Diceros bicornis minor: one gene and its partner. The protein of the gene in region 2 interacts with the protein of the main gene of each other region in a biochemical or structural test. Links are inferred from orthologs where the notes say so. Each region holds a gene or a part of one and is shown on either strand. Other genes may lie near its edges. The genes, in order: DOK1 and LYN.

Region 1 (3,902 bases), on a different chromosome or scaffold from region 2:
GTGGATAGCAGTCTCAACTGCCTGAAAGATGTCATTTCCCTGTGCCGTCTGGAAGGTGAAGGTTCCAGGGCCGGAGGGGCAGCGGCGGCCAGCCTCAAAAGAGAACATGACCTGAAGAGAATGTGGAGAGAAACACATTACCAGGAGCCATGAGAGGAGGTGAGTCACAGGGCCCTACTACTTAGGGGATCTACAAAGAAAAGACTACCTGGAGAAGAGGGTGGGGTCATGGGCTAGGCAAAGAAGGGTTATCCAGAGGGCAGAGCTTTCCACCTTCCTGTCCTGCCCCACCTCCCCCACAGCTGCCCAGACCTAGGAAGCCAGCCCTCCCTGACAGCCCCCGCACCTTGTCCCTGCCATAGCGACGCAACAGAGTGTAAGGCCAGAAAAGGAGTGGCTCTAGTATCTGCCTCTGGGCCCCCGCGGTCAGGAGAGTGAGCCTCTCAGCCTCCACCCTCAGCACATAGGAGCCGTGCAGGCCGCAGCGCTCAGCGGCTTCAGTCCTCTGCACGGTTACCCAGAACTGGGATCCTGGAAGGAATACACAGTTAGACGGGCACCTGGCCGGGACTAGGGGATGGGGCAGATTGTCCAAGCACCCACTTGGAAGCCAGCTCTCAGGAGCTTCCTACTTCCCCAGGGGTCCCTGGACCCTCTAATTATCCCCTTCCCAAGGGCACTCTTCCTTTCCACCCCATCCCTGCCCGGGCTTCTCAGGCGTCTACCTTCCCAGGTGGGGCTATACAGGGAGTTCTCCAGCATCTCCAGGGCAGAAAGCTTGGGTGGGTTCTCAGCAGGCGCCAGAGCCCAGCTGCCTTTCTGGGGTAAAGAGAAAGAGAGTATCGAAGACCCTGTAATTCCCTCAACGCGGCTCCCAGGATCTGAGCCAACCCAGTTCCTCCGCCGCAGTAACTGCCCCCACCCCCGCATCGCCTCTAGGCCCGGTGCGGCTCGCAGGAGCCCCTCGCCGGCAGTCCCGGCCCCCTCACCGGAAAGGCGTTGCGGCACAAGGTTTGCACCCAGGCGGCGCTGGACGGCGCGTCGGCCGCCAGCAGGTGGGAGCGCTGCGCGGTGTCCAGGCGGAAGGCAGTGGCGCCAGGCTCAGGGGGGCTTTCCACGGCCACGGGGGCTACGCTCACACACTCCGCCAGACGGATCACCTTGCAGTCCAGGCGGCGCGAGCCCCCTCGGCCCCCTCCAGAGCTCGACCCCTTGTGGTCAAAGAACTCGAGCCGCGCTACGCCGTGGGGGCTGGCTGGGTAGAGCACGGCCCAGGTCTTCCTCCACCTCTGCGGAGAGAGAGCGAGAGACGCTGCGGAGGGGGCGGGCGAGCACGGGCAGCCCGGGAACCGACGGGGAAAGAGAGACCGGCGCTGGCCGATATTGGGTCTGAGGCTTCCCGATGGGAGGCGAACTCGCCCAAGGAGGAAGCCGCTCCGTCTCCCCACGACCAGAGAGGGCGTACCCGGAGCCCGGCGGGCGCTTCCCCGGAGTGTGCAGAGCAACCTCGCGGGAACGTCACAGGGCTCTCCAGCTCCGGGCGCCGCGCTCCAACCCGCTGCCCGCCTCCTCCCTCTTTCTGGGCTCTATCGCCCACCCCTAGCTCTGAGGGGGTTCGGCAACCCTTGCCCCTGACTACCTTGGTACCGAAACGCTGACTCTGCAAAAAGAGCGTCCCTTCCATCACGGCCCCGTCCATCGCCCGCGGCGGTTCCTTTCGCACTTCCTGGCCCCGGGGCTGCGGGCGGGGCGGGGCGGGGCGGGGCGGGCCCACCGGAGGCGTTGCCGCCCCTCCCCCGGCCCCTGCGGACCTTGAAGGATCAGGAAGGAGAAGAGCAAGAAGGAAGGGGAGGGGGTCCACCTCCAGGTCCCTGCCCTTAGCTCTAGGACGCGCGCAAGTGGCTCCACCAAGAGAAACCTCGCGGTTTTGGCCAGAGGGCTCTGGCGCCTGGGCTTGGGGGCTGCGTGCGATGTCATATGCTCAACGTGACATCAGAGTGAAGGCCGTGACATCACCTCGAAAATGGTGACGGTCGCCCTGGGGCACTGGAGGGGCCACGTGGGCCCTCATGGCCTCAGTTCCCCTGACCGGATCCGCCCCCAGCCTGGCCGGAGTTGGGCTGTTTACACTCCGCGGACCCAGGGACATGGAGAAAGGGCTAGGGGCTGGGGACTGGAAGGCTTCCCGGAGCCCGGAGCCGAGTCGCGGCCTCCAGCCGCTGCAGGGGCCGCCGTCCGGGCCGGTCCGCGGCCCGGTGGCCTCTTGCGTGTCCAGCTTCCTGACCGCAGCTGCCGGGCCTCCAACCTGCGGGAAAAGAAAGCTTCATTGAGCACTCCGGGAAGGTCGGGGCGGGGGGAGGTGGAGCGGCAACGGCTAGCGTCACGGGGGAGGGGAGGACTAAGAGGAAAAGAGGAGGGAACTGGCCAGGGAGCAATCGAGGGAGAAGGCGGAATGTGGGAGGGCTCAAGGGGACGTGGGAGGGACTAAAGGAGAGGGAGGAGAGAGGGGGGGTCCAGTCTCCCCTGGCCGAGCACTTTTTTTTTGAAAGTCCTAGGACTGATCTCCAGGACCAGCATTCTTCTCCCAGCCCCTAGGGCCCCCGCTCAGCCAAAGGTAGGGGGAGTCGCGCTGCCGGCAGGAGGAAGGGGAGTTGCGGATGGAGAGGATGGTGCAGGGACCAGGGGAAAAGGGTGATGTAGGATGGAGTCGAGGGGAAGCCAACCAACTGAGGGTTTTATTATTGTCAAAGAAGAACGAGACACAAGAAGAGTGGAGAGAGGAAGCAGATATTTGGGGGGGGGGGGGAGGAGACTGCAGAGTGTTCCAAATAGGGCAGCTGGGAGGACCCTAAGGCTGGGGGCTCCTCTTGTGAGGCCCTACCCCTGGGCCCCCCAGCCACAGTGTCCCCAGAACAAAGCTGTCCTGTTGGGTTGTTTGTCTGAGTTGGGGGAAGCATGTAGGGGGTGGGGGGGCTTGCTGTAGAGAGGCTGTTCTCAGCCCCAGACAGAGGGAAGGCCTTGGCTGAGGAGCCGATTGGCGCCCTGGCCTCCGGTTGCCCAGTGACAGCGATGGCAGTGTTGGCAGGAGACTTGGACAACCCCCCACTCCCCGCCAAGCTTGAGGCCTGGCCCTCCTGGGCCCCTTGACCCTCCAGGGCATGTGAGAGCCTGTGTGCTGGGTAGAGTGTGCAGCGGGTTCTGCATGTATTCTGATCTCTGCCCTCTCTGCCTTGGAATCTGCCCAGATAGGACTCTGGGCTTGGCTCCCATTCAGGGGGCCGGAGATCCAAGGGTTTCCTAAGACCCCCTTGCCTGCCTTTCTCCACAATCAGTAGCTGTCTGTCCTCTGTCTGACTAGCTGAATGGGGTCATCTGGGTCCCTCCCACTTCTGCTCCTTGGCTCCTGTCAATCCCTGTCCTCCTCACCTGTTGCCTGCCTCTCTCCTTTTCTCCCCAATCCTGTGTGCCCGGCTTTCTCCCAATCACCTTTTATCCATCTTCAACATTGTCTTTCTCTCTGCTGTCTCTTTCTCTTTGGTCCCCTTTCAGTCCCACAGTTTCCCTTCCTCTCACCTCCTATCTGTCTGGGTCTTCCTCTCTGTGTTTCTCTTGTTCCATATCTCTTTATCTTGACCATTCTTTGACTCTTGGTCTCTAATCACTGTCTTTTGATCTCTGGGTCTCTTAGATCAGTGAGTGGGGGTAATGGAGGCGATGATGGCAGAACTAGGGAAGGACATTGGAAGGCATAACAACTAATAGTGAGAGTTTTACTTTTTACCAAAGGGAGGGAGAGCCTCTCTCTCTATGTCTCTGTCTGTCTCTCTCTCCCTTTTCCCCAATCTGGGTCTCAGTCTGCGCCTCTTTGACTCAGTGTTTCAGACTTATTTAGTGTATGTTTC
Region 2 (3,902 bases):
GCCATTGGATGAGGGGTGGAGATCACAAATTCTCCACATACCTGTGCAACACCAATGACTTTAAGATAAAGTGGGTCTTTGTGATTTGGCAAACTACTTTTGCCAAATCTTACCACTCCAAATCAAGACCTGTCTCCCAGTGATACAGCACAGTAACCAGGGCTGAACGGAGATGCCCACTTAGAACACTACAGCTGGGATAACCTGAGAGGCCAAAAAGTCCCTCACATCCCCATTTTAGACACCAGGACAGAGAGGGCCAGTAGGCTGCAAATGCCTTAGGGACCAGCCCTGTTCCTCGGCCTTGCACAGCACCAGGCTCAGAGCAGACTTGCATTCCTTCTTCTAAGTAATCTCCACTATGGGACAGGCACCAGGGCTAGCATTTTGGACCAGACAGACAAAGCTGTTCTCAAGGAGCCTTCACTGTAGTGGTGAATATAGACTATACACATGCAGACAAACCAAAATATAACTCTAGTTACTGCTATGAAGGAAATGTTGGCTGAATAAATGGCCTAAGTAACTCATCCTAAATCACAGCTCTGGTAAATGGCAGAAGAGCCCCACAACAGGCTTCTGGTTCCTCCTTTCTCTTTCCCGACATCAGCTGCCCTCTCCTCTTCACTCAGGAAGCAGGTTAGCCCACTCTGCATCCAAACAGGCCCAGTCATCAAAAGCCTCTTGTAATCAAAGTAAATTTCTTCAGGCCTCAAGACGTTTACCTCCTTATTCCCAAATAAGAAGCAGAGACAACAGAATCCCACCCTTTTCCAGCGCACTGCCCTTCTCAGGAAGGACTTGCAGTACTTAGTTAAATTACAACTCCCTATATTCTCCTGTCCTCTCTCAGTGCCTGCTCCAGTCCACACTGCTTTAGGTGTTGCCTGCACAGAGAGAACACCTCTGCCCTCCTGAACCCTGCAGCCGGCTGGGGGTGGCCAGCAAATCAAAAGTCAGTCAGAGGTGCTTACTGGCTAGTTCTCAGGGTGAGTGAGACTCCTGGGCCCTGCTTTGGGACAGCAAATCCCTGGTGTATTTATTAAGCAGATTTACTAGTAAGGCCAGGTGGCTAAATCGGACATGTAGTCTTAGGTTTATAATCAACACATTACAAAGAACCAGGGAGCCTCGTTTTTATGGACAGAGTTATTTGCGATCAATAATAATAACAGCACTGTTTATGAAATGCCTAGTATGTGCTTGGGGCCTTACGTGCAATAAATAGCTCAGGAGGTAGATATATTCTCCAAGAGATGAGGAAACCCAAAGAGCGAATTTCAATAACAGGACCAAGTTCACACACGGTTAGGAAATTGCAAGGCCTGGATTCAATTCGAGTTTCTGAGATGGCAAAGAAGTTGGGTGGATTGGGCTTAATTAAGACAGACCCATACTCACACGGGCATACAAACAAAGGAAGACACAACCACACAGCCACGCCGGCTATTAGAAGGAACATTACAAACGCACAGCATCCAGCAGACGCCGCGGTCGCCAGGATAACGCAGAACAGTGCAAACTGTCGCTGACACCCTTCCCCCAAGGCGAAGGAAAGGCAACCCCTGAATTCTTAAAATAACTCTCGCTTCCTCTCCGCCGGCGGCAGAGGCACCGGACTGCTCCTCTGCAGGCCGAGAGGCGCCGGGCTCAGCGGGAGGGTGAGCACCACGCTCCGCCGCAGCCCCTCGACGTCACGCCGCTGCCCGGCGCGACCGAGGAGGGCAGCTGCCCGCGGGCCTGCAGGAGGGCCCGCGCCGGGCCCCATCCCTCACTTCTGGGGACCCAGAGCCCAGCGGGGAGACCAGGCTGCGCGACCCGAGGAGTCCCCGCCAGGATCCCCGCCGCGCGCCCGCTCCGCGCGGAGAGGGGCTTCCCCGCGGCGCGCCGGGAGTGGCCCGAGCGGGGACAGCATCCGGCCGGCGGCTCCGCGCCAGAGGGACCCGCGGCGCGCCCGCCTCCGCGCCCGCACTCCCACCACGCCCCTGTGCGCTCCGCGGGAAAGACACCTGCGGAGCCGCCCGCCCCCGCCTTCTCGCTCCGGGGCCGGGTCACCCACGGGCTGAGGGCATCGGGGTGCCCTCGCCGCCGGGACCGGCGCCCGTGCGGCCAGGAAGCGGCGCGCGCCCCCCGCCCCCGCGGCCCGTGCCGACCCCCGCTCCCCGTGCCGACCCCGGCTCCCCGGCCCAGGGCCGGCCCCGCGCCCCGGACTCCGGCCAGTGGCACAGCCGCGGCTTCCGCCCGGTCTGCCCGGCGCCCGCGCCCACCCCCGGCCTCGCGCGCGGGACTCACCAGCTCGCGGTGAAAGTTGCGGGGCGGCGGCGCTCCACGGTGACTCGAGTTCAGAGCCGGGGGCGCGACGGGGCGGCCCAGCGGGCCCCGCGTGGGGAGGGGCTGCGGGCCGGGAACGGAGGACGCCCGGCGAGGGGCTGCGGGCGCGGGGCCCGGGGTGGCGCGGCCGCCCCGCCTGCCGCGGGCTGGAGGCTGCAGCGCGTCGGGCCCCGAGGCGCCACGGCCGGGAGCGAGCGGCGGGCGGCCCGGAGCGGCGGGAGAGGAACTGACTGTCGCTGGGCTCGGCCGAGAGGTCCCAGCTACTTCCTGGTGCTCGGATTTGCATACTGCACCCGGAGGGCGGGGAAGTGACCGTTTGGCCTCTGCCCAAGGTTTGGGTCTTTCATGTGGCCGTCGCGCAGAGCCTTGAAGGCAGAGAAACCTGGTGTCCCAGTGTGCAGCTTGGCAGAGTGGAGCCTCCTCGGGCCCAGCATTCTCAGGTAGAGACGGACAGAAGCATCTTCCAGGGAAATACTCTGAAGCCTTGACGGTCGTAGCACATCGACGAAACCTCTCGCGTCTCCTTGCCTTGCCTTCCAGCCTACTCCCCAAGGTGTTAGGAAGTGTTGTGCCCCTGGCAGCGGAGGGGGCGCGCTCTGATCCCCCCAACATTTGGAGTTTTCTAGAGAGAGAATGAGATGTGCCGAGTTTATGCTCAGGGTCTCATTGTGTTCTTAATCAGTACAGAGTAAGCTCCTGAAGGGTGTACGAGGATGTTCAGGGTATTGATGGCGGTGGTGGCTGTGGAATTAAATAGCCTGGCAATTTACTCAGTTCCTCAAAACTTCTGTTTCCTCCCGGGAAACTGGAGATAAGGATGGCTAGCTCGCGGGGTTACTGGGAGGATGACATGTCTTCTGTAAAGGGCTCACACTGTGCCCGGTACACAGTCATGGGCCCTGTTATTCTGTCATTCCTACAATCTCTGCATCCCCACATGTTGCCCAGAGCTTGACACATAGCAGGTGCCTAATCAGTGTCTGTTGAAAGAGTAAGCTGCATCTTCAAGCTCATATTCCTACTCAGTAAATGCCACTTACAAATCCAGGATGTAATGTTAGTCTCAGCCACTGTGGATGCCCACTTGTTCTAAGCAGGATTCTACTCACTGGGATGCCAACGCTGCCCTACACTGTAGAATTTACGAGGAAATAAACAGCATCCTGTAGGAGGTTTGGTCTTTGTGTTAATAATAGCCAATACTTACTTAGGGCCTATTGGGCCCCAGACATTGCCCTAAGCGCTTCAGACCTGTTACCTTTTATTGACAATGTTCTTAAGAGGCTGGCCCCACCTAAGGAGGCTGCAGCCACAGCCCAGTGGGCAAGTCCAACTCCTTGTAACACAACCCCAAACAACAATCGTTGTTACTGGTAACAGAGGATGAAGGTTTGCAAACTACTGCCTTAAACGAAGTAGGTTGGTTTATACCTGTGATGTTTGCTGGTATGTAGTTGGTTAGTTTCCTGCTGAAGAGGAGGGAGTGGGGTTACCTGTTGGAAGGTGTTGCAAGTGTGAGTGAAATCTGCCACAGATCCTATGGAGTAATTCACTACCTCAGGGCCCGTTTC

Evidence for each region.
Region 1: of the proteins of LYN (region 2) and DOK1, one has a biochemical effect on the other in vitro, tested with the Homo sapiens proteins (2 studies listed by BioGRID, with this or other methods). The link is inferred for Diceros bicornis minor from reciprocal best matches to the Homo sapiens genes LYN and DOK1.

The regions. Positions count from the first base shown.
Region 1 is NC_080751.1:14,465,825-14,469,726, forward strand, and holds the start of DOK1 (docking protein 1), read right to left. Parts: upstream 2,369-3,902; 5' UTR 1,700-2,368; coding exon 1,640-1,699; intron 1,290-1,639; coding exon 990-1,289; intron 820-989; coding exon 726-819; intron 532-725; coding exon 347-531; intron 112-346; coding exon 1-111. UniProt on the Homo sapiens protein: DOK proteins are enzymatically inert adaptor or scaffolding proteins. They provide a docking platform for the assembly of multimolecular signaling complexes. DOK1 appears to be a negative regulator of the insulin signaling pathway.
Region 2 is NC_080772.1:9,709,921-9,713,822, reverse strand, and holds the start of LYN (tyrosine-protein kinase Lyn), read right to left. Parts: upstream 2,482-3,902; 5' UTR 2,293-2,481; intron 1-2,292. UniProt on the Homo sapiens protein: Non-receptor tyrosine-protein kinase that transmits signals from cell surface receptors and plays an important role in the regulation of innate and adaptive immune responses, hematopoiesis, responses to growth factors and cytokines, integrin signaling, but also responses to DNA damage and genotoxic agents.